4 linked regions of the Canis lupus familiaris genome follow. The protein of the gene in region 1 binds, or shares a complex with, the protein of each later gene. Links are inferred from orthologs where the notes say so. Each region holds a gene or a part of one and is shown in the gene's direction. Other genes may lie near its edges.

Region 1 (4,879 bases):
TCCCTTTGGTATATACCCATCATGTTAGCATTTGGGGTTTGGGATTTTGGGGTGTGGTGGGTTTGGGGTTTTGTGAGGTTTTTGGCTTTTTTTGTTTTGTTTTTTTTCTTCCAAGATCATCTTGTATATTTCCTACCCCAGTCTTAGAATTAGCCATTTCTCCAAGGAACTCTGGTTCATTTTATTGGAGAATGCTATTAGAAACCAAGATCTGGGTGCTAAGTTGCTTCTAGGCCCTCTCAGCAGACAGAGGAGATACCCATGTACACTAATCTGTGTATATGCAGTCTTTATATAATTTCTCTATGTAACCAACTGTATCTACATTGAGCTAAACATGAGTTCATACTGATATCTCCAGTTCCAACCTTGATCGTGTTAGCCTCCTCCACATGCTTACCTGTCACTACTTATTCCAACAATAAGAAATCATCCATCCTGACTTAACTGTCAATTCTAGTGTACATGTGCTGTGGCTTCACAATTGTTAACCCATACTGCCACAGAAAACCGCTTCATCAACTAAAGTTGATGCTTACCCGCAGCTCCTTTACATTCACTTACAGACTCCGCCCATTTCCAGATTAGCACCTTACTCCCCCACCCCTTTAGTGAGGCTGTCTCAATCCTACCATACAAAATAACTTCACTGCCTTAAAAAAAAAAAAAAAAAAAAAAAAAAATCCCCGATGTCACTCATTTAACTCTACCCCTCACCACCCCCGGCACCCAGTAATCTGTTTACCTCATGTATGAGTTTGTCTTTTCCAGAATGTCATACAATTGGAACCATACAGCGCATAGCTTTTTCAGACTGGCTTCTTTCGCTTAGAAATATGCCTACCTGTGTCTTTTCAGAGCTAGATAGATGATTTCCTTTTATTGCTGAATAAATAGTCCCTTATACGGATATATCACAGTTTGTTCATTCGCCAATTGAAAGCTGCCTCCTCTGCAAAGACTCCTGTGATGTCACCAAGCAGGCTCCTTCCTCTTAGTTCCAATGCATCCTGTATACCAGTCTCCACATTGTCTTATTGTGCTGTGTGCCTTTGCTTTCCTGTCTGTCTCTCCTTGAGACCAGGAGCTCCTTGAGGAGAGAAGCCACGGCCAGTTCATTTCCATATCATCAGTGTCCCGCACAAGGATGGAGGATGGAGTCAGAAAATGCCTGTTGGATGAATGGACGAATGAATGAAATGTCACGGAGAGGAGGAAAATCTACAGACCTGGGGCATGAAGAATACACAAGGCCAGAATAGTTTTGAGGCGAAGTAGCCCAAGAGAAAGGGTTAGTGTTCGGAGGAAAGTCTAAGATCTAGGGTGGTGAGGAATGAAATTTGAGGGGAGGGGTCTGGATGCAGAAATGGAAAGAAAAGAGGACAATGAAACAAGCTCCTTATGAATATTCATTTATCCACACAACCCTGTAAGACAGTTATTACTAACGTCCGCATCTTTACGATGGGGAAACCCAAACATACTAGGGTAACTTGCCCAAGGGGAAATCGCTGGTGCGGTGGGGTGAGATTCGAACCATCAGCCTCGCTCCACTTGGTGCTCTCACCCAAGATCGGTTTGGTACAGGGCCCGGCGAGCGGCGAGAATTCAACGAAGGCGAGATGATCCTGCTGTTGCCAGTAGGAGGCCCAGGCTCGGAGTCTTGGAGGACTGGCTGAGGGGTCTTTGAGGCCGCCCTCGGACCTAACACGAGCTTAGACCAAAGGACGAGGCAAACCCGAGAGGCGCGGAGGCAGCGTCGATGAGGGACCCGTTGCCATAGGAACAAACGGAAGCTTTAGGAGGGCGCATGCGCAGGCCGGGGAAAGGGTGTGGAGCCGGCGAAAGGTGACGTAAAAGCGCACGGGGTGAGACGCAGGGCTCCGCACGTCAAAGCCCTGCGTCCTCCGGCATTCAGTGCAGTGGAAAGGCGCGCGCGGTGCTGGCGCCGGCAGTGATAGCAGCCCCAACTGGACCGAGAGCAGGCGGTGCGGAGCTGACGTGCAGAGCAGCGCCAGTGAAGCGTGAAGGCGGCGCCCGCGCCGGGAAGACCCCTCCGCGCAAAACGCGGCCGACCGGACCCGGGTCCCGGCTTCCAAGGCCCCGCCTCTCGGGCCTTGGGACTAATCGGATTGAGAGCGCGCCGGCCCGGACCCCGAACTCGCCAATTGCGTAGGGCGTCAGCTACCGCCCAATCCGGAGCAGACAGGTGCGAGGTCCGAAAGGCGGAGACCAATCAGCAGCGGTTGCGGCCTGTTGGGGCCGATCTCTGCCAATGAGGAGGCCCGAGTGACATCCGCGCACACCAATCGGGAGTGAGAGAGCGTTCGTGCCCGCCCGCCCTTCCGGCCTGAGCTCTATTTACCAGGGGCGTGCGGCCGGTTTACCAATCAGAGCGCGGCTGAGCGGCCGAGCAGCCAACCCCGGAGGAGCGGCCGGCCGGCGTCCGCCGCACCCGAGAGTTGGGGATGTCCTACAAACCCATCGCCCCCGCCCCCAGCAGCACCCCCGGCTCCAGCACCCCTGGGCCCGGCACCCCGGTCCCCACAGGTGAGGATCCGACTCTACCCCTGCTCGCCTGCCCGGGTGGTCGAGGTCTCGAGAACACGGCCCGAGTTCTGCAACACTGGGCCTGCTGCCTCCCCTCTCTGAGCCTCAGTTTGCTGGCCTGTGAAGTGGGCGTGGTCACGTAAGGGCTAGTTGGTGGAGCGCAGGGGGAGGGGTTTGTCGCTGAAGTTGAGCGCCTGGAGCGAAGTATCCCTTTGGAGGGAAGCGGGCGAATCCGGTCGGGGGCTTGGAACGCTGGGAGGCCGGGTCCCGGCCCCGCGCTGACCTATTACTCGCGCATGTTGCAGCCGGAAGTGTCCCATCGCCGTCGGGCTCAGTGCCGGGAGCCGCTGCCCCTTTCAGGCCCCTGTTTAACGACTTTGGACCGCCCTCCATGGGCTATGTACAGGTGAGTGGGGTGAGGGATTGCCTACGGACGGGGACTGGAGGTCCCCGCGGGCCCTGAGCTCATGGCCCTGTCCTCTTTTGACATAGGCAATGAAGCCACCTGGCGCCCAGGGCTCCCAGAGCACCTACACGGACCTGCTGTCGGTCATAGAGGAGATGGGTAAAGAGATCCGGCCCACCTATGCTGGCAGCAAGAGCGCCATGGAGCGCCTGAAGAGAGGTAAGTGAGGCTTCCACCCTCCCTGCTCAGGAGACTAACACTGGACAATCCTTCCTTAGCAAAGGAAGGACATCTGGAGGCCGCGTGACCCAAGCCTAAACAAGGGTGGGTGTCACTTTCCAGGGAGGTGTTTTGAATTGAATTGAAATTGAGTCCGTTTGGGGGGAAGGACCAGGGCATTTGTCTTTCAAAAGGACAAATTTGAGGATTAGCCAAATCGTTAATCTCATCAGGCCCTTTATCATCCTCCTCCCTTTCACTGGAAGGAAAGGGGGTGGGGAAGGAGGGTCTTCCTCTGGAGGATGAGGGTGGGACCCTGCAGGGTCGCTGCATGTTACTTGCCCATTCCCACCTCAGGCATCATCCATGCCCGGGCCCTAGTCAGAGAGTGCCTGGCAGAGACAGAGCGGAACGCCCGCACGTAACAGGACGCAATTCCACCGCCGAGTCTGGACCTTTCCTGGCCACTGCAGAGCACCTGCTTCTCCCTGGCCTTCACCCCGAGTTGCACTTCCCAACCTGGGCTTCCTGTCCTGTGTCCCCTGGTGGGTGCCCTCCAGGAACCAGGGGGCGGCTCTCACTCCAGCCGACAACACTTGACTGGGACTCTTTCAAGAGTTAGCAGCGAGGTCACTGTGAGTCCCGCCCATGACCTGCCAACAGTGTTGATCCAACTGGAGCTTGCTCCTTTCTGTGGCCCCCACCACTCAGCACTTACCCAGGACTTGTCACCACCTTTCCTAGACTCCTCCCCTAGCAAGGCCTCCCTAGGCCTGTCACCTCCCTGCCTTGTCTCCTGGGCCATAGCGACTCTTTTTTCAGTCAGTGTCTTTTGCTAAATATGCCCTTTTTGTATAAATAAAAGATAATTTGGAGTTGTTCTCTCACCTCTTAATCTTTCTGAGTGTGGTGCTTCTGCTGAGCCAGGAAGAAATTGGAAAAGAGGAGATCGAGGAGGGGAGAGGGGCAATGCAGTGGTGGGAGACAGGGCCACTGAACCTGGCCTGGCCTGGCTCCTACTGTCCATTGACTTGGCTGGGACCCTGCCCTCCTCCAGCCCTGGGCCTTCACAGTTCTGAGTCTTGAAAAGGCTTAAGCTCCAGTAGCTGTGAGCCCTACCCTCCTACACGTGGTGCCACCAGGGGGCAGCCTGGAGCTTTAGCCGCCTCCACAGCTGGAGGGCACTGTCGCCAGCCCGGGCCTAGAGGGTTCTTTCTCTGGATTGGCAGTCAGTGCCTGGCAGGGTGGAAATGTCAGTTCATATAAGCCAGGCCCTCACGTGTCTTAATTTTCTAAAATCTTAACCTCCCAGTCAACCCTGGAAGGTTCTGAACACGTCCTGACTTCTCAGAGGAGAGGGGGCACTGCTGCTGCTTTTCTCCAGCACCTGAGAAGCAGAGCCAAGGGGAGAGGATGGTCTTCCAACAGGAGCGAGATCCAGCTTGGTGCTGCCATCCACTGTCCCAGCACCTCCTAGCCAGCTGGGTGTGGTCCCGTGAGCCCAGCCCTCAGGTGTCTCAGCCTTTGCCCAGGGTCTGGTTGGCCAGACTTGTGGACCCGGAAGGCATCTGTGGGAAAAGCCATGGGGCCCCATTCAGGGGCTAGACCAAGGATTTCCGGTGACCACAGTAGCGGTCTGCCTGGGTGTGTACCTGAATGACCCCAGAGGCCTAGGGCACTGGAACCCCAGCCCCTTAGAAGAGG
Region 2 (4,751 bases), on another chromosome or scaffold:
GCATTTTCATATATTGTCACAACTGATCCTTACCCCACCTGTGAAATGGAATTAATGTTCTCATTTTGTACCTGAATAAATTTGGGTGACACACATCATCAAGGTAATTCAGGCAAATGTGCTTTATTTTTTACTTTGCCTCAGCTATATAGAGCATTATTTTTTTCACTTTAATAATTTGTGATCATGGACCATCACATATGCCATCACCATTCAAACACAACACAATCTTCTTTTCTGGGGACACTGCCCATCCCTGCACAGATCCCATACCCAGGGTCACCAACATGTAGCTGTAAATCACCAGAAACTCCACAAACAACTCACAACAGTGAGGGATCATCTTACCCTTGATTATATAATGATGTCTGGAAGTAGTTTGGAATGGATTGGCTTTTTATTTTTTCAATTTAAAACAAATTTTTATCAAGGTTTATTTGAGAGAGCACTTGGAGGAGAGGCAGAGCGACAGGGAGAGAGAATCCCAAGCAGACTCCTCACTGAGCATGGGGGGGGGTGTGTGTGTGTGCCTGGACACCGCCTCCAGATAATGACCTGAGCCAAAATCAAGAGTCAGGTGCTGCTGGCTTTTTAAAAAGTTGTTTGCATTCATTTGGGGGATTGCCAGCTAAGATTCAATTCAATTTGTTTTTTTGCTTGTTTCTGTGAGGGAATGGAGGCTGAGAATGCTGGGATTGCCTAGAGAATTGGCATGGGAAAATAATGATTCAAAAGCATTAGGCACATAACTAGTTAAAAGTCCATCAACAGTAAGGGGACTGAAACCATCTCCCCCTTTGTGGAGAGGGGGTGGGAATGGCGAATAAGTAGGGTCCCTTTCCTAAGGGCCTCTTTTCCTGGCAGGGCGGCACTGGATATAGGGTCTGTCTAGAGGCCAGGCCTCCGCTGGGAGTGGGTTCTGTTCAGCCCACGCGTGGGGTGAACTTGATAGACCTGTCAATGCAGTTGGGGTGACTTGGGAGGGGGTCAGTGTTTTTGGACTTCTCTCCAGCTAGCACGCTCCCTGGGGAAGCTGGTAGCACCAGGGTCCTCCTGGCCCCAAGGTATGCGGGTTCCATCACCACCATGAGGCAGGCGCTCTGCTGGGCGCACTTATTTGTTTCCAAGTGTTTGCCCTGAGGCAGGCGCCCACGTGCTCAAGGTCTTGCATACAAGGGCTCCCCAGGGACGCAGCAAGGAGGAAGACCTGTCTGCGGGTGGCCAGGTGACAGGGTACGGTGGCTGGGGCTGTGTGGGCTCGGGAGAGCCTGAGCCCCTGCCCCCACCCCAATTCTCCCACCGCTCCAGGTCCGCATTTGCCACTGCAGGCCTCCGCTTCGGCCACGACCCTTGCCCTGGGGTCGCCCACCTCCGGCGAGGGCCCCCAAGCCGCCGCCTCCCCAGGTCCCCGCGGGCCCCGCAGCGACCTCCCCCGGCCCGGCCCGGCCCGGCCCGCTCGGCCCGGCTGGCCCGTCGCTGGGGGCGGGAACCTGCCCCCACCCCGCGGCGTCCCCTCCCCTTCGCTTCCCCCTCCCCTCCCCTCGGTGCCTCCCTCCCCTCCCCCCCGCGGCGAGGCGGCGGCGGCGGCGGCGGCGGCGGCGGCGGCCGAGGCTGAGGCGGCCGAGGCTGAGGCGGCGGCGGCGCGGCGCGGCGGGCGGGGCTCGGCTCGGGCTCCGCGGGCGGGCGGGCGGACATGGCGGCCAACATGTACCGGGTCGGAGGTAGGAAGGCTCGGCCCGACCCGGCCCGTCTGGGAGCGGGCTCCGGGAGTGGGGGGTCGGGGCGAGTTCACCCTAACCGCCGGGGGCCGCGGGCGCGGGGGGCAGGGGCGCCGGGGCCCGCAGGAGGGGCCGGGGCTCCCCACCCGCGCCACCCGCGCCACCCGCCCCTCCCCCGGCCGTGGCCCGCCGGGGGCCGGCGCCCACCTTCCCCCTCGCTCGCACCCCCGCTCAGTTTTCTAGGGCCGGCCGGGCCTGTACTTGGGGGTGTGAATTCTCAGCTGCCCCCCTCCGAGACGCCCCCATTGGGTGTCGGCCGTCGAGCCCCCAGTGGGGTGCTCTTTCCCTGCGTGGCTTCCAGGCAGTGGGGGGGTTGGAGAGGATGGGGGGACGCCCCCCCGCTCTACTCCTTCACCCCTTCAGTTGGGAGCGGGGGGTGGGGGCGATGGGGGCTCAGCCAGGCACAGCTGGACAGGCCTGTTGGCGGGGATAGGGCCCTTCACCTCTCCTTCCTCACTCCCCCCTCCCGTTTCTTGCCCAGCCCCCCCAAGATGGGGCGTAGTGGGGCCAGGGCACCGCGGCCAGAGGTGGGGAGTTGAGCTCTGCCCGGACGTTTGCTCTGGTGACTGCCTTCTCAGCCCTCTGCAGAAAAGAGAAATAAGGTCAAACAAACTTTCTCCCTACTCACGACGCCCTCCTCCCTCTTTCTTGGTAGAATAATAATTCAGATAAGTGGCGTGTTTGTGTGTGAGACTTGGTCTTCTCTGCTCATTAGCTGAGCTCCTGATGGATGGTAGTGGGAATGGCCTGGCCAAATGAGGCCACTTTGCAGAAGAGAGACGACGGAAAGAGCCACTAAGATAGACAATAACAATGCAGCCCAGCCTTTCAAATAAACACACAGTGGGAAGTTTCCAGTGAGCCTATTACAGGAGAGGAAAAGCCACACTTGAAAATTTTTATCTTTTTTATTGAAAGCCTGCGGTGATTTTTTTTTTTATAACAAGACCCCAAATGGATCTGTATTAAATATGGTAAAGAGCATAACAAAATCCTGATAACCATCTCCAGAGAGCTCTGTCTCTCAGAAAGGGAATCCCCTTTCATGCCCCCCCCCCCCCCCCCAATCATCCCAGATAGAGCTGTGGAAGTTTGTCAGTGTGCTTCCTCTTACCTATTCTGCTCACCTGATTTTTTTTTTTTTTTAAGTTGGTGATTGAAATGTACTTTGGGCTGCTAAGCTTTTCAAGATGCTCTGAATTTGTCTTAGGTCAATAGTTTTATGTGAGAAGCATACTCCAGGGTAAATTGGATTGGAGGGGAAAGATGTGGAAGCAGTTATAGCATGAAAGACACATGTTTAGTCAGCCCTGACTACTCGGTGATGAGGAGTCTTTTTGTTTATTATTAAAGAAGTGATGTGTGGCATGAAAGGCTCAGAGAGCTTGATAAAACATTAATTGTTAAATGAAAATTTCAGGAAAATAAGGGTCTGTGAATAGTAGGCATGAGAAAATATATTAAGGTTGTATTGCTAAATTTGCTTTTAACCGGGAATGAATTATGTGCTTCATTTTGAATGTGCATTGCCTAATATAGAAAGTCATAGATTGACAAATGTGAACTTTCTGTTGAAAAGATTAAGGTCTTTACTTCCTTTAATTACAGATTATGTCTACTTTGAGAATTCCTCCAGTAACCCGTACCTAATCAGAAGGATAGAAGAACTCAACAAGGTATAAACGCTAAGTGTTCTTGATTCTAATATTAAAAAAAAATTGTTTTCCATTGACGAGTAATTAGGTAAAGGGCATAAGAGGTGATTTTACTTTCAGTCCTGGACTCTTTGAAACTAGAGATTGAAGATTAGAGAGTTATGCAGGATTCTGAATATTCTTTTGCTTTTATAATTACCTATGATATTAAATGTTACTGAATATTTAACATCTGCAGATTTCTGGGATGCCTGGGCTCAGTGGTTGAGCATCTGCCTTTGGCTCGGGGCGTGATCCCAGAGTCCCAGGATCAAGTCCCACATCGTGCTTCCTGCATGGAGCCTGCTTCTCCCTCTGCCTACATCTCTGCCTGTCTGTGTGTCTCTCATGAATAAATAAATAAAATCTTAAAAAAAAAAATCTGCAGATTTCTTCACGTTGCTCAGATCTTCTCGGAGCAGGTCACTCTTGTAACTGTCCCTTTTTATATTTAGAGTCATAATTGTATTTCTTTCAGGGAATTATTTTTTCCTCTTTCAGCTTTAGAAAGAGGAAGCTAGGAAATGTAGTATTGAAGCGAATTTGTAAAATTTTGGACTAGGTCAACTAATAAGAATACAGTTTTGTTATAATGTAAAGTAGCTTCCTACTTTAGGCCTGACAGCAGAAGCTTTGTGACTGTTTGCAATAGGTGAGCTTATTATAATGGTAGCATATGAAAAGCCATAAACTATATGAACCATGGATTACTAATGGTGCTCTGGTTTCCTCCAAACCAACTTTGAAGATTATTTGTTTTACTTATGAGAGTTCATAGTGTTAAAATGTCGGAAGCTGTCTTGCTAATACCTTTCCTCCAAAGTACCTTCTAGAGACTGGGGAAGTTCTGAGTCCCAGGATGTAAGATTTGGTTTAGGGCATTTCTGGTTTATGAACCCTGAGATCTTGGTTTGCTTCTGGAGACATCCCCATGGACCTTACATCTATAAAAATTCTGTTGTAGTTGAGACCACCACCATCAAATGAAGAAAATGACCTCAGGATTAGATCAGTCTGTTGGTGGGAACAGTTGGGGTGTCATTTTGATCTTTTTTTTTTTTTAAAGATTTTATTTCTCCATGAGACACACACACACACACACACACACACACACACACACAGAAGCAGAGACACAGGCAGAGGAGAAGCAGGCCCATGCAGGGAGCCTGACGCAGGACTTGATCCCCGGTCTCCAGGATCAGGCCCTGTGTTGAAGGCGGCGCTAAACTGCTGAGCCACCTGGGCTGCCCTCATTCTGATCTTCTCTTTTATTTTAGTG
Region 3 (4,997 bases), about 4.1 Mb from region 1:
AAGCCATTGGAACTTCAGCAAGAATTCAGGAAACATACGGGGTTGGGTTCTGCCCTGAGCTGAGGGCTACCTTGGTGACCAGATCACTGGCCACTACCTCAAGCAAGTCTTAACGATGTGCCCTTCCCGAAGTCTTCCCGACTGAGGGCAGGGTTAGAGCTGAGCTGGGTGGGCCCCGGCCCTCTCCCCAGGGGACGTAGTTGGAGGCTGCAAGCTGCTGAGGAATCGCTATGACAGCCGAGACCGGGAGTGGGCCACCTACACCTGCGTGCTGGGCTTCCATGTCTATGGTGAGCAGGGCCTTTGGAACCATCCAGGAGGGGTGGGGGGCAAGGTGGAGTCCTCCCTGGGCTCGGCATGCTGGGCGTGTGTCAAGGGGTTGGCGTCTAGAAGCGGGCAGATCCAGCCCGGGCGGCCCCTCAGGCCCTGGGCTGTCGGGACGGACTGGGAAGGATTGCCTGGGACGCGGCCGGTGGGTGGCCGCCCTGCCTGAGCACCAGAACGTGCGTCCCTGGGCCGAGGGTGGGCACGGGGAGGAGGCCGTACTGAGGCTGGCCGCCGTGCTAGGCGTGTGGCCCGACGGCTCGGATGGCACCGACATCAACTCCCTGTGCCGCTCCCACAACGAGCGCGTGGTGGCCGTGGCCGACGACTTCTGCAAAGTGCACCTGTTCCAGTACCCGTGCGCGCGCGCCAAGGTGAGGCCTGGCGGGCTGGGCTGCTGCGGCCGGGCGGGCGGGCGGGCGGGCGGGCCCGGGCTCGGCGCCGCCGCAGCTCCGTCTTGGTTCCCGCCCAGGCGCCCAGCCTCGTGTACGGCGGCCACGGCAGCCACGTGACCAGCGTCCGGTTCACGCACGACGACTCGCACCTCATCTCGCTGGGCGGCAAGGACGCCAGCATCTTCCAGTGGCGAGTGCTGGGCGCCGGGGGCGCGGTGCCAGCGCCCGCCACGCCCTCGCGAACCCCCTCGCTGTCCCCGGCCTCCTCTCTCGACGTCTGACCGCTGCGGGAGGGCACTCACCGGCCCGCGGCCCGGCTCCGCCCCATCCGCAGCCCCCGGGGCCGGGGGCCCACCTTTCCTGGACTCCGAGACATTCCTGGTCGCGCGTTTCCCTGGAGGGGGCGAGTGGCACCCCCCGCGCACACTGTAGAGACCCGCTGGCCGAGCCGGGCAGCCCCAGCCTGGGCCCCGACTCCCGCCGCCTGCTGAGGGGCAATAAACCAGAAGCAAAGTCGCCTCTCAGTCCTTTTGTGGGGCGCGGCTGGGTGCCTCCGGAGCCCTGGGGGGTGGCGATGAAGAAAAAGAGGAGTTTGGACCGAGTCGGGGAGCGTAGGCCGCTCATGCAAACGATAGGCAAAGCCGCTTGCAAATGACCCGGCGAAGCGCGAAGGCGCGCGAGTCTTTCGTGGCCTCAGGCGGAGGTACGGGGGCTCCGGCGAGGATAGAGTTAAGCCCAACTCTTCTCCCGCCCTCGGAGGAGGGGCCGAGCCGCGACGGAAATAGCCGAGCGCCCGGCCGCGGTTGGCCGGAGGGAGCCGAACCTCTTCCGGAAGCGGCCGATCTCTGGGCTCCGTCTCTCCGACCTGAGCCGAGCGCCGGGCCTTGTTCTCCGGATCGGCCGAAGGTGTTCCGGAAGGAGGCGAAGCCCGAGGCGGGCAGGGCAAGCCTCCTCGGCGGCCGGCAGAGTCCGACGTCTGCTGGGGCTCGGCGAGGGCGGAGGTGGGGGCGCCGGAGCCTGGCTCCGGTCCGGCGGGAGCCGAGCTCGTTCCGGAAGAGGCCGAGCGGACCGGCGCTGGCCTCGGCGTCCCGGGCGTGAGGCGGCGGCGGCGGCGGCGGCGGCGGCGGCGGCGACGGCGCGGGCCGGGATGAAACGAGACGGCTGAGGTGGCGGAGGTGCCGGCTGCGCGGGACCGACCGAGACTTCCGCGAAGCGCCAGCCCCGCGCTCGGGGCTTCGCCTCGCGCCGAGCCCTGCCACCGCGAGTCTCCCGGACCCCTTTGTGCGGCCGGAGGCGGCGGCGGGAACGGCCATGGCGGCCAACATGTACCGGGTGGGGGGTGAGTACCGGGCGCAGGGGCTGCAGGGGCCGGGGCCGGGGCCGGGGCCGGAGAGGCGCGGCGGCGGGCAGCGCGGGTCGCCGCGTCTGGGGCGGCGTGGCCCCGAGCGCGGACCGGAACCGGAACCGGGAGCTCGGGGAGCGAGGCTGCGGGGACGGCGACGCGGCGGGGCCCCGCGGCCTTCGGAGAGGCTGCGGGAGGCCGCGACGGCGCCGTCCTGGCCGCGTCGGGGGCCCCCGGGGTCGGGCGGCGGGGCCTGGGAGGGTGGTTCGGCTCGAGCTGACAGGGCAGGCAGGGGGCGGAGGGGGCAGAGCGGCCGCCGCCGGGAGGTGTCCTCCTCCCGGGCGTTATTGTGCGCCTGGATGCTAAAAGGTGAGGGTCAGCGATTGCTCATTTGGCCGAGACGGGTGCATCTCCCTGGCGGAGTTGTAGGGACGGCAGGGGACCCCCTGCTTCTTGCTCCTTCCTTAAGGCTCACTTTTGAGGGAAGGATTTGAGATTAGAACTTGGGTGGTGGTGGGGAAACCCCTTGTTTTCTCGTGGTCTCTCCACTTCCACATTTCAGCGTCCTCTCTACCTGGATCCTTATCCCCTTGGTCCTCTCAGGCCTCCTCTCTCTCCCACCCCGGTGCTGTCTTTCCCATCTCCCCCTCTGATCTTCCCGGTGCTTCCCCACCCCCTCCTACAGATTACGTCTATTTTGAGAACTCCTCCAGCAATCCTTACCTGGTTAGACGGATTGAGGAGCTCAACAAGGTGAGTGGAACAGAGAGAGTCCCACCCCTGTCCTGTCTGGCCTCCCCCCCTCCCCCCTCCGGGAGGGTCTTTTTCTTCTGAGGTCACTAACTTCAGGTGGAAGGCGGAGGCGGGGTGGAGGGGAACCAATCCTATCCTAAGCGCCCATTCATATTCATTCATTCATTCATTCATTCATTCATTCGGTGTATTCAGGAAAGGCTTTTGAGAGCTGGGTGGGAACCTTCTATTCTATCTCTCCTGGGCCAAGGAAAGGGAAAATCTGGAGGATAAAAAGTTTGGAAGTCTGTCCTTAAACGCCAAGTTTTATTCATAATCTTTTGGGTCTTTCTATTTATACCCCTTAGAGACTTATGCACTGTTGTTAGTCTCTTCTTTTTGTGTTTCCACTTTAAAATGACCAACTTTAACTGCTGTTTTTTTTTTTTTTTTTATCCTCTTAGACTGCAAATGGAAATGTGGAGGCAAAGGTTGTGTGTCTTTTCCGGCGAAGGGACATTTCTAGTAGCCTCAATAGTCTGGCTGATAGCAATGCCAGTGAGTGTCTTTGCACCCCCCCCCCCTCCACGCTCCCCCTCCCCATGATCTGAGGCCTGGGCATGTCCCTGCAGGTGTTTCCCCTGGTAGCATGCCCAAAGCAGGGGTGTGAGTTTGGGGGTGAGAAATGCCTGGTTTGCGGAGGGAGGCCTGTTTTTACACGTTGGGGTTGGAAGCAGGGTGGAGAGACCATGATAAGGAAAGCCAGAAAATGGCTTGTGTGTGTGTATCTGAATGATGGGTGTAAAAGAGATGATAGTATTTAAGTAGGGGATGAAGAAGAGCTTTAGAGAAGCAGGACCCTTGGGGGTCAGTTTTGGGTACCTTGGGACAATGGGTAGTGACTGTAAAGGTCAAGGTTGAAGAGGAAGAGCGTGTACTTGGAAGCCTGCATAACAAGGAAGCAGCCTAATTTTGCGATCACGAAGTAATGAGAATACATTGAAGGAAGAGAATGGGAAACTAGGAAACTTTTCTTGCCCTTTTTCCTCTTTCTCACCTCTTCTGTTTTGCTCCACTCCATTTTACATCTTTTCCTTTTGTGTTATCTTCCTTCTCTTTATGCTTTCATCTTCCTTTAAAAAAACTATTTCTTTATGTTTTCCTTAGTTTCTTTTTCCTTTCCTGCTTTGGCTTTCTTTCCTCTTCCTCTTGTTCCTCCTTCTGAAATTATCTTCCTTATTTCAGGCAGCTGTGGCCATGAAGGGGTTAACGAGGAGCTAGGCCTACCAAGTTCTCTGGCCCTCTGGGGTTTCCAGCCCCATCTGGCAGGGGCTGACCTTGGCCTTGTCCAATCAGAAGGGGTGGGGGGGGTGTGGTCCCCCCCTTGCCTTAGCACTGGGTTTCCGGAGCACACAGGCGAGGGGTGGAGCCTGCTGCACCCCACCCCCCCCTTCTCCCTGAGGTTGGGAACAATGCACCAATGAGCCTGGGCCTGTGGCTCTCCTGCCCCCTCCCGCTTTGGTTGGCCCTCAGCCAAGTTAACCCTTTCCACCAAGGTTTCAGGGCAAAGTTGCAGTGCCTGGGGAGGAAGGCACTGGCGCTGGCTTGAGAGGTACTGTCCTTGGAAGCCCCACAAACAATCATTAGTCAAGTGGACAGTGAAGAATAGTTAGGACTGCGAGATGTATAAGAGCAAAGAGACTCCTGAAATCTGAAAAGAACTAGTAAACACAACCTCGTGTGATGATTTTTCACCTTATTGGGTTTCTGGAACTCGGGCTGGTTTAGCAAGAGAGAGGAGTGTGATATTCTTGCTGGGCCTGAAGTGGGCAGATTTGTGCTTTATGAGTGGCATTTAAGCATTGGCACCTGGGTTTGGGATGCATTTCTGTGGCATTCTTTGTACTCTTAGCAGCGATTCCCAAGGCATTAGTGATGGGGAGTTGGGAGCACTGTAATGGGGAGAGGGCTAAGTGGGAAGTTTGGCGGGCTTAGGGGCTGAGAGGTAGATGCCTGGGGAATGTGAAAACCAGCTGGAATAGGAAATGTTTTCCCCGGGGTTAGAGTTGCCAGGGTGGCTTCTTTCTGAATTAGTTTCTGACTTGGCTTCTTCCTCCTTCATCTCCCAGGGGAGTTTGAGGAGGAATCAAAGCAGCCAGGGGTGTCAGAGCAGCAGCGACATCAGCTGAAGCACCGGGAGCTTT
Region 4 (4,914 bases), on another chromosome or scaffold:
TGGGTCTGGAGGGCTGCCTTTCTTTCCTTTGTTGATTTTTATTTTCTTGCTTGCAGTTGAAAGGGTTTACTTTTCTTTTTCTTTCTTTCTTTTTTTTTTTTTTTTTTTGAATTTTATTTACTTTAAAGAGAGAGAGAGGGATCCCTGGGTGGCGCAGCGGTTTGGCGCCTGCCTTTGGCCCAGGGCGCGATCCTGGAGACCCGGGATCGAGTCCCACGTCGGGCTCCCGGTGCATGGAGCCTGCTTCTCCCTCTGCCTGTGTCTCTGCCTCTCTCTCTCTCTGTGACTATCATAAATAAATAAAAAAAAAATTAAAAAGAAATAAAAATAAAGAGAGAGAGAACACAGGGAGAGGGAAAGGGAGAGAGAAGCAGAAGCAGGCTCCAGGCTGAGCGTGGACCCCGACGTGGGGCTTGACCCCGGGGCCCCAGGATCGTGACCTGAGCCAAAGGCAGACTCTCAGCCCACCACGGTGCCCCTGAGCCTGATTTTTTTTTTTTTTAAGATTTTATTTAATTTATTCATGAGAGACACAGAGAGAGGCAGAGACCCAGGCAGAGGGAGAAGCAGGCTCCACGCAGGGAGCCCGACGTGGGACTCGATTCCAGGTCCCCGGGATCACGCCCTGGGCTGAAGGTGGAGCTAAGCCGCTGAGCCCCCCGGGCTGCCCGAGCCTGATTTCTTTAGGGCACAGGGTTGCCTGTTTGTCTGCAGGGAGCTCGGGGGTCTGCGTCTGCCCAGCGCGGGCCCCGTGTCACCTGAGCCGTCAGGCAGCGGCGCCGGGAGCCCCCTCCTACCCAGCTCTCGCTCACTCACCCTCCGGGTCTTTCCTTTGTCACCCTGGCCTGAGGTTGATCCCCTTACTGGCTGTTTACACGAGTTCATTTTTCCTCATTATGCTGGTTTTTGCTCATCATCTACCATCTTTTTGCTTTGCGTGTTTTCCCATCTACCAAAGCTTAACCCACCCGTCTCAGGCGTGCAGGTCTGAATTGTGGGGAGCACATGCAGGGGTGCAACTGGCGGCTGGGACGCAGCCCCGTGCCCCCCAGCCCCCTGCCTGAGCAGGGATCCTCAGAGCCGCATGCAGGGCCGGTGGGGCTCCTCCTGGGTCGTGTCCAGTGTAGACTGCATGTGAATAACAGCTTTGGTTTATTTACTTATTTTTTTTTAAAATAGATTTTTTACTTATTTATTCATGAGAGACACAGAGAGGGACAGACACAGAGGGAGAAGCAGGCTCCACGCAGGGAGCCCGATGCAGGACTCGATCCCGGGGCTCCAGGACCACGCCCGGGGCCAAAGGCAGCGCTAAACCGCTGAGCCACCCAGGGATCCCCGACAGCTTTGATTTAATTGGTTTTTTGGTTTCTTTGGATGAAAGCTTTAAGACCAATAGGGCTTTATATTAAAACTGCTCTTTTGAGCGACAATTCACGTGTGATAAAATTCACCCGCTCACGAGGCGTACGGTGTGGCCGCGGTCTGTGTTCAGAGTGTTTCCACTGCCGTCAAGCCGACCTCGAGCCCGTCGATGGCCCCCTCCCGTAGAGCTCTCTTCCCCCCCAGCCCGCGAGCGTGGCCCTCTGAGCCCGGCAGCCCTGTTCCCTCTGGGCTGTTAGTGCTGTTGCTCTTTCGTTCCGTGGAGCTCTGTGGGTGCCCATGGCCGCGTCCCATCCGGCTGTGGCCTCGGGCAGCACAGGTGAGCCCCCCCCAGCAGCACAGGTGCGCTCCCTCCTACAGTATAGGTGAGGACCCCCCAGCATAGTGAGCCTCTCCTGCAGCACGGGTGAGCCTCCCGCAGCAGCATAGGTGAGCGCCCCCATCTCCCTGCAGCATAGGTGAGCTCTCCTCTGCAGCACAGGTGAGCGCCCCCCCCCAAGCACAGGTGAGCCCCCTCAGGTGCCTGCAGCAGGTACACAGCAGCAGCAGGTGCCAGATGCTTGCTGGGGCCTCTCCACACGGTGGAGCGGTAGGACCTCTTGAGAGGACGGAGCTGGCCTGGGTCCTGGGGCAAGATCTGTGCTCCGAGTGGCCCTTTGGCTGTGTCCCGGCTGACACGGGCCTCTTGCAGGCCTTCCCTGGGGCACGGGGGACAGCGCGGGGCACCCCTGCTGGGGACTGCAGCCTGGCCTCGTCCTGGCACCGAGTCACCCGCAGCTGCCCCGAGCTACCTGCTATATCACGGCGGCGGCCAGGCTGGCAGCTGGGTGGCCTCCCGGCTGGCCTGGGCTCCGTGGGAGCCGGCCAGCCGCCCCCGTGGGCCTCTTGGGAAATCCCGGGTGCCTGCCAGCCTCCTGGGGACCGATCCCAGGCTGCTCTGGAGCCGGAGGCGAGCTGGTGCCCACATGGTGTGCTGGGGACCTGGCGGGCGGTGGCGGGACCTCGTTCCTCTGGCACCTGACCCCGTCCGCACCCCCGAGAGCCCTGCCTCTGCCCAGGGAGCCCCGGCCTCCTCCGTTCCCTGCCCGGGGCGCGTGGGGTGGGGGGGCAGGTGCAGGCGCCCGGCAGCCCCTCGGAAGCTGTCCTGGGGGAAGCTGCAGTCCGGCTCCCACAGCGTCTGCGCGGGGCAGGGGGCGGGGCGTGTGGACCCTCTGCCCGGGACAGCCCCCTCCGTCCTCTAGGACCCGTGCCCGGCACCCACCAACATGTCTGGGTACCTGTCTGTGCACTAAGGTGGCAGGGGCACCGTGTCCTTCGTTCCCTCCTGTTCCCTGGCCCCTAGAACTGGGCGCGGGTGTGAGGGGGGTCGGGGCTCCCCTGGTCCCCGGGCTCAGTGCTGCGGGGTGACGCACTCTGTTCCTGTTTGCAGACTACGTCTATTTTGAGAACTCCTCCAGCAACCCGTACCTGATTCGCAGGATCGAGGAGCTCAACAAGGTACGTGCATGGGGGGGGGCGCGTGGTGGGGGGGGGCCGCCCGGGGCTTCAGGGCCGGCCCCAGACCCTTCGGTGGCTTTGTTCCCGTGCCACACGCCTACACCTGGGTCCTTCTCCTTGGAGAGCTCTCCGTGGGGTCCCTGTGGCGGGTGTGCTCTGTGGGACAGGGGCGCCCTGTGGGGTCCCCCTGGCCGGGGTCTCCCCGCCCACCTGCTGCCTCTGCCTCTTCCCGGCTCACTCAGGCCCCTGCCGCCCCGCTCTGGGCCCTCGCAGCCGCCCCCCCTCCCGCCAGCCTCCCGCTCTGAGGCGCCCCCGGCAGCACTGGGGAGAGGCAGGAGTGTCCCTGCGGCCGTGGAGTCCCTGGCCCCGGAGCACCTGTTGTCCCCGACTGGCTGTGCTCCGTGAGGCCAGTCCTCAAGGGCTGCTCTCCTGGACCCCGAGCACGGCAGCGTGGCTGGGCATCCTTGGGACCGGCGGGCTGGGGGCGGAGGTCGGGGTGCTGGTGCTCCACGGAGCAGACTGGTGGCAGCCGAGCCCCGACCCCTGTGCCCCCGTTCCCGAGACTCCTGCGCAGCATCTGCCCGGGGGAGGGGGTGCCCCCAGGCCTCCGCTGCACACAGCGTGTGGGGCTGGTCCTTGCAGCCTGGCAGCTCCTGGGAGGCTGGGCCAGGTCTGGACGCGGCAGGGCGAGGGCAGTGACCAGGACGCTGTGGGGCCACCTCCCGCGGGTGCTTGCTGGGGGAAGCTGCCCACGGCCCGCCCGGGCAGCAGGGCCAGCAGGGCACGGGGTGGGCATCGGCTCGGGAACACATGGGGTCGGGCCCGCGACTCCAGTGAGCGGTGGGGAGCGTGGCGGGGGAGCCGGGGGCCCACTGCTGGGCTGGCCGCGGGCAGTGGGTCTCGGGTGGGGCCAGCACAGCCCCTGCCCCTCGCTTTGGCTGTGACGTGGAGAGGGCAGGTGGCACCACCTGTGGCAGCCTGCAGGTGACGGGTCTGCACGGCAGTGGCCACAGCCCGCCATTGGAGCGCTCGGGGTGGGGTCGATGGGCGTCTGCGTGTGAGCCTGCAGCCCCCTTCAGTACTGGGGTGGGGCGGGAGGGACCCTCTGGCCCCCGCAGCCCGCCTCCCCTGCTGCCCGGGGACCCGGGGCAGTCCCGGCTGGGGCCGCTGGGAGCTCGTTTTGTGGGCCCTTCCCTGCTGGGGCCACCCTGCCCGGAGCCCCCAGGCCCCCAGGGCCCCTTGGGCACAGGAGAAACGGCCCCGAGGGTCAAGTCCCCGGAAGTCGGGGCTCGTCTGGGCGCAGCTCTGGCGCAGGGCGGGGGCGGCAGCTGGCTGCGGCCCCTGAGCTCCCGGCTGGTCACCCGGCGCTCCCCGCCCCCCCACCTCTCTCGTGTCTGCTGAGCTCTTCGGAGGTCCTGGAAGGCGTCTGGGCGCTGGCGGCCTCCCCGGGGGCCGGCGGGGCAGGGGCACCGACTGCTTGCTCCAGCCCCTGTGGTTCCAAGGAGGGCGCCAGCGGGGAGCCCCGCGCAGACCCCCGCTGAGCAGGGAGCCCGTGGGGCGCGGCCCCGTGACCCTGAGGTCACGACCTGGGCTGAAATTGAGAGGCGGCCGCCTGACCAGGTGCCCCCGTGGCTGCTTCCAGTTCTGATGGGGAACCAGGCCCCTGGCGCTGAGGTCTGCCCAGCGGTGCGACAGAGGCCTTGATCCACCCCAGGGGTGCTGGAAGGTGGGGCCCAGGGGCTGTGGCCTTTCCAGCGTCCGGACGTCCACCAGGTTCTGGTCCTGAGCGAGCAAGGCCTGGGGGAGGGACGCAGGTCAACAGGGGGACCTGGCTGGCGGGCCAGGAGGAGGGTGCACCGCTGGAGGGCTCAGGTCCGCCGAGCGCCCCTCCCCGGTCAGACGTGCCCCGGCCCACTCGGCGTCAGCGCTCCCTGGGCTTGGCTTCTCCCGCGACCTGCCGGCCCTGGGGTCACTCGAGGCCCCTCTGGGCCGCCCCTGCTGGCAGCCGCCGGCCGGTCGGGGGCGTGCGTTGCT

The links.
Region 2: CDK2AP2 (region 1) and MTA3 share a complex: the UniProt entries of both Homo sapiens proteins name them as parts of the nucleosome remodeling and deacetylase (NuRD) repressor complex. The link is inferred for Canis lupus familiaris from reciprocal best matches to the Homo sapiens genes CDK2AP2 and MTA3.
Region 3: CDK2AP2 (region 1) and MTA2 share a complex: the UniProt entries of both Homo sapiens proteins name them as parts of the nucleosome remodeling and deacetylase (NuRD) repressor complex. The link is inferred for Canis lupus familiaris from reciprocal best matches to the Homo sapiens genes CDK2AP2 and MTA2.
Region 4: CDK2AP2 (region 1) and MTA1 share a complex: the UniProt entries of both Homo sapiens proteins name them as parts of the nucleosome remodeling and deacetylase (NuRD) repressor complex. The link is inferred for Canis lupus familiaris from reciprocal best matches to the Homo sapiens genes CDK2AP2 and MTA1.

What each region holds. Positions count from the first base shown.
Region 1 is NC_049239.1:50,472,216-50,477,094, forward strand, and holds CDK2AP2 (cyclin-dependent kinase 2-associated protein 2), read left to right. Parts: upstream 1-1,872; 5' UTR 1,873-2,468; coding exon 2,469-2,550; intron 2,551-2,855; coding exon 2,856-2,956; intron 2,957-3,042; coding exon 3,043-3,175; intron 3,176-3,532; coding exon 3,533-3,600; 3' UTR 3,601-4,070; downstream 4,071-4,879. UniProt on the Homo sapiens protein: Acts as a component of the histone deacetylase NuRD complex which participates in the remodeling of chromatin.
Region 2 is NC_049238.1:34,301,243-34,305,993, forward strand, and holds the start of MTA3 (metastasis-associated protein MTA3), read left to right. Parts: upstream 1-1,633; 5' UTR 1,634-1,693; coding exon 1,694-1,721; intron 1,722-3,386; coding exon 3,387-3,454; intron 3,455-4,751. UniProt on the Homo sapiens protein: Acts as a component of the histone deacetylase NuRD complex which participates in the remodeling of chromatin.
Region 3 is NC_049239.1:54,555,280-54,560,276, forward strand, and holds the start of MTA2 (metastasis-associated protein MTA2), read left to right. Parts: upstream 1-1,879; 5' UTR 1,880-2,030; coding exon 2,031-2,058; intron 2,059-2,347; exon of another isoform or gene 2,348-2,420; coding exon of another isoform or gene 2,421-2,430; intron 2,431-2,746; coding exon 2,747-2,814; intron 2,815-3,189; exon of another isoform or gene 3,190-3,257; coding exon 3,258-3,351; exon of another isoform or gene 3,352-4,922; coding exon 4,923-4,997. Other genes in the region: EML3 (echinoderm microtubule-associated protein-like 3), read left to right, coding at 192-290, 678-698, 797-1,374. UniProt on the Homo sapiens protein: May function as a transcriptional coregulator. Acts as a component of the histone deacetylase NuRD complex which participates in the remodeling of chromatin.
Region 4 is NC_049229.1:73,159,450-73,164,363, forward strand, and holds the start of MTA1 (metastasis-associated protein MTA1), read left to right. Parts: upstream 1-1,796; 5' UTR 1,797-1,939; coding exon 1,940-2,351; intron 2,352-2,812; coding exon 2,813-2,880; intron 2,881-4,914. UniProt on the Homo sapiens protein: Transcriptional coregulator which can act as both a transcriptional corepressor and coactivator. Acts as a component of the histone deacetylase NuRD complex which participates in the remodeling of chromatin.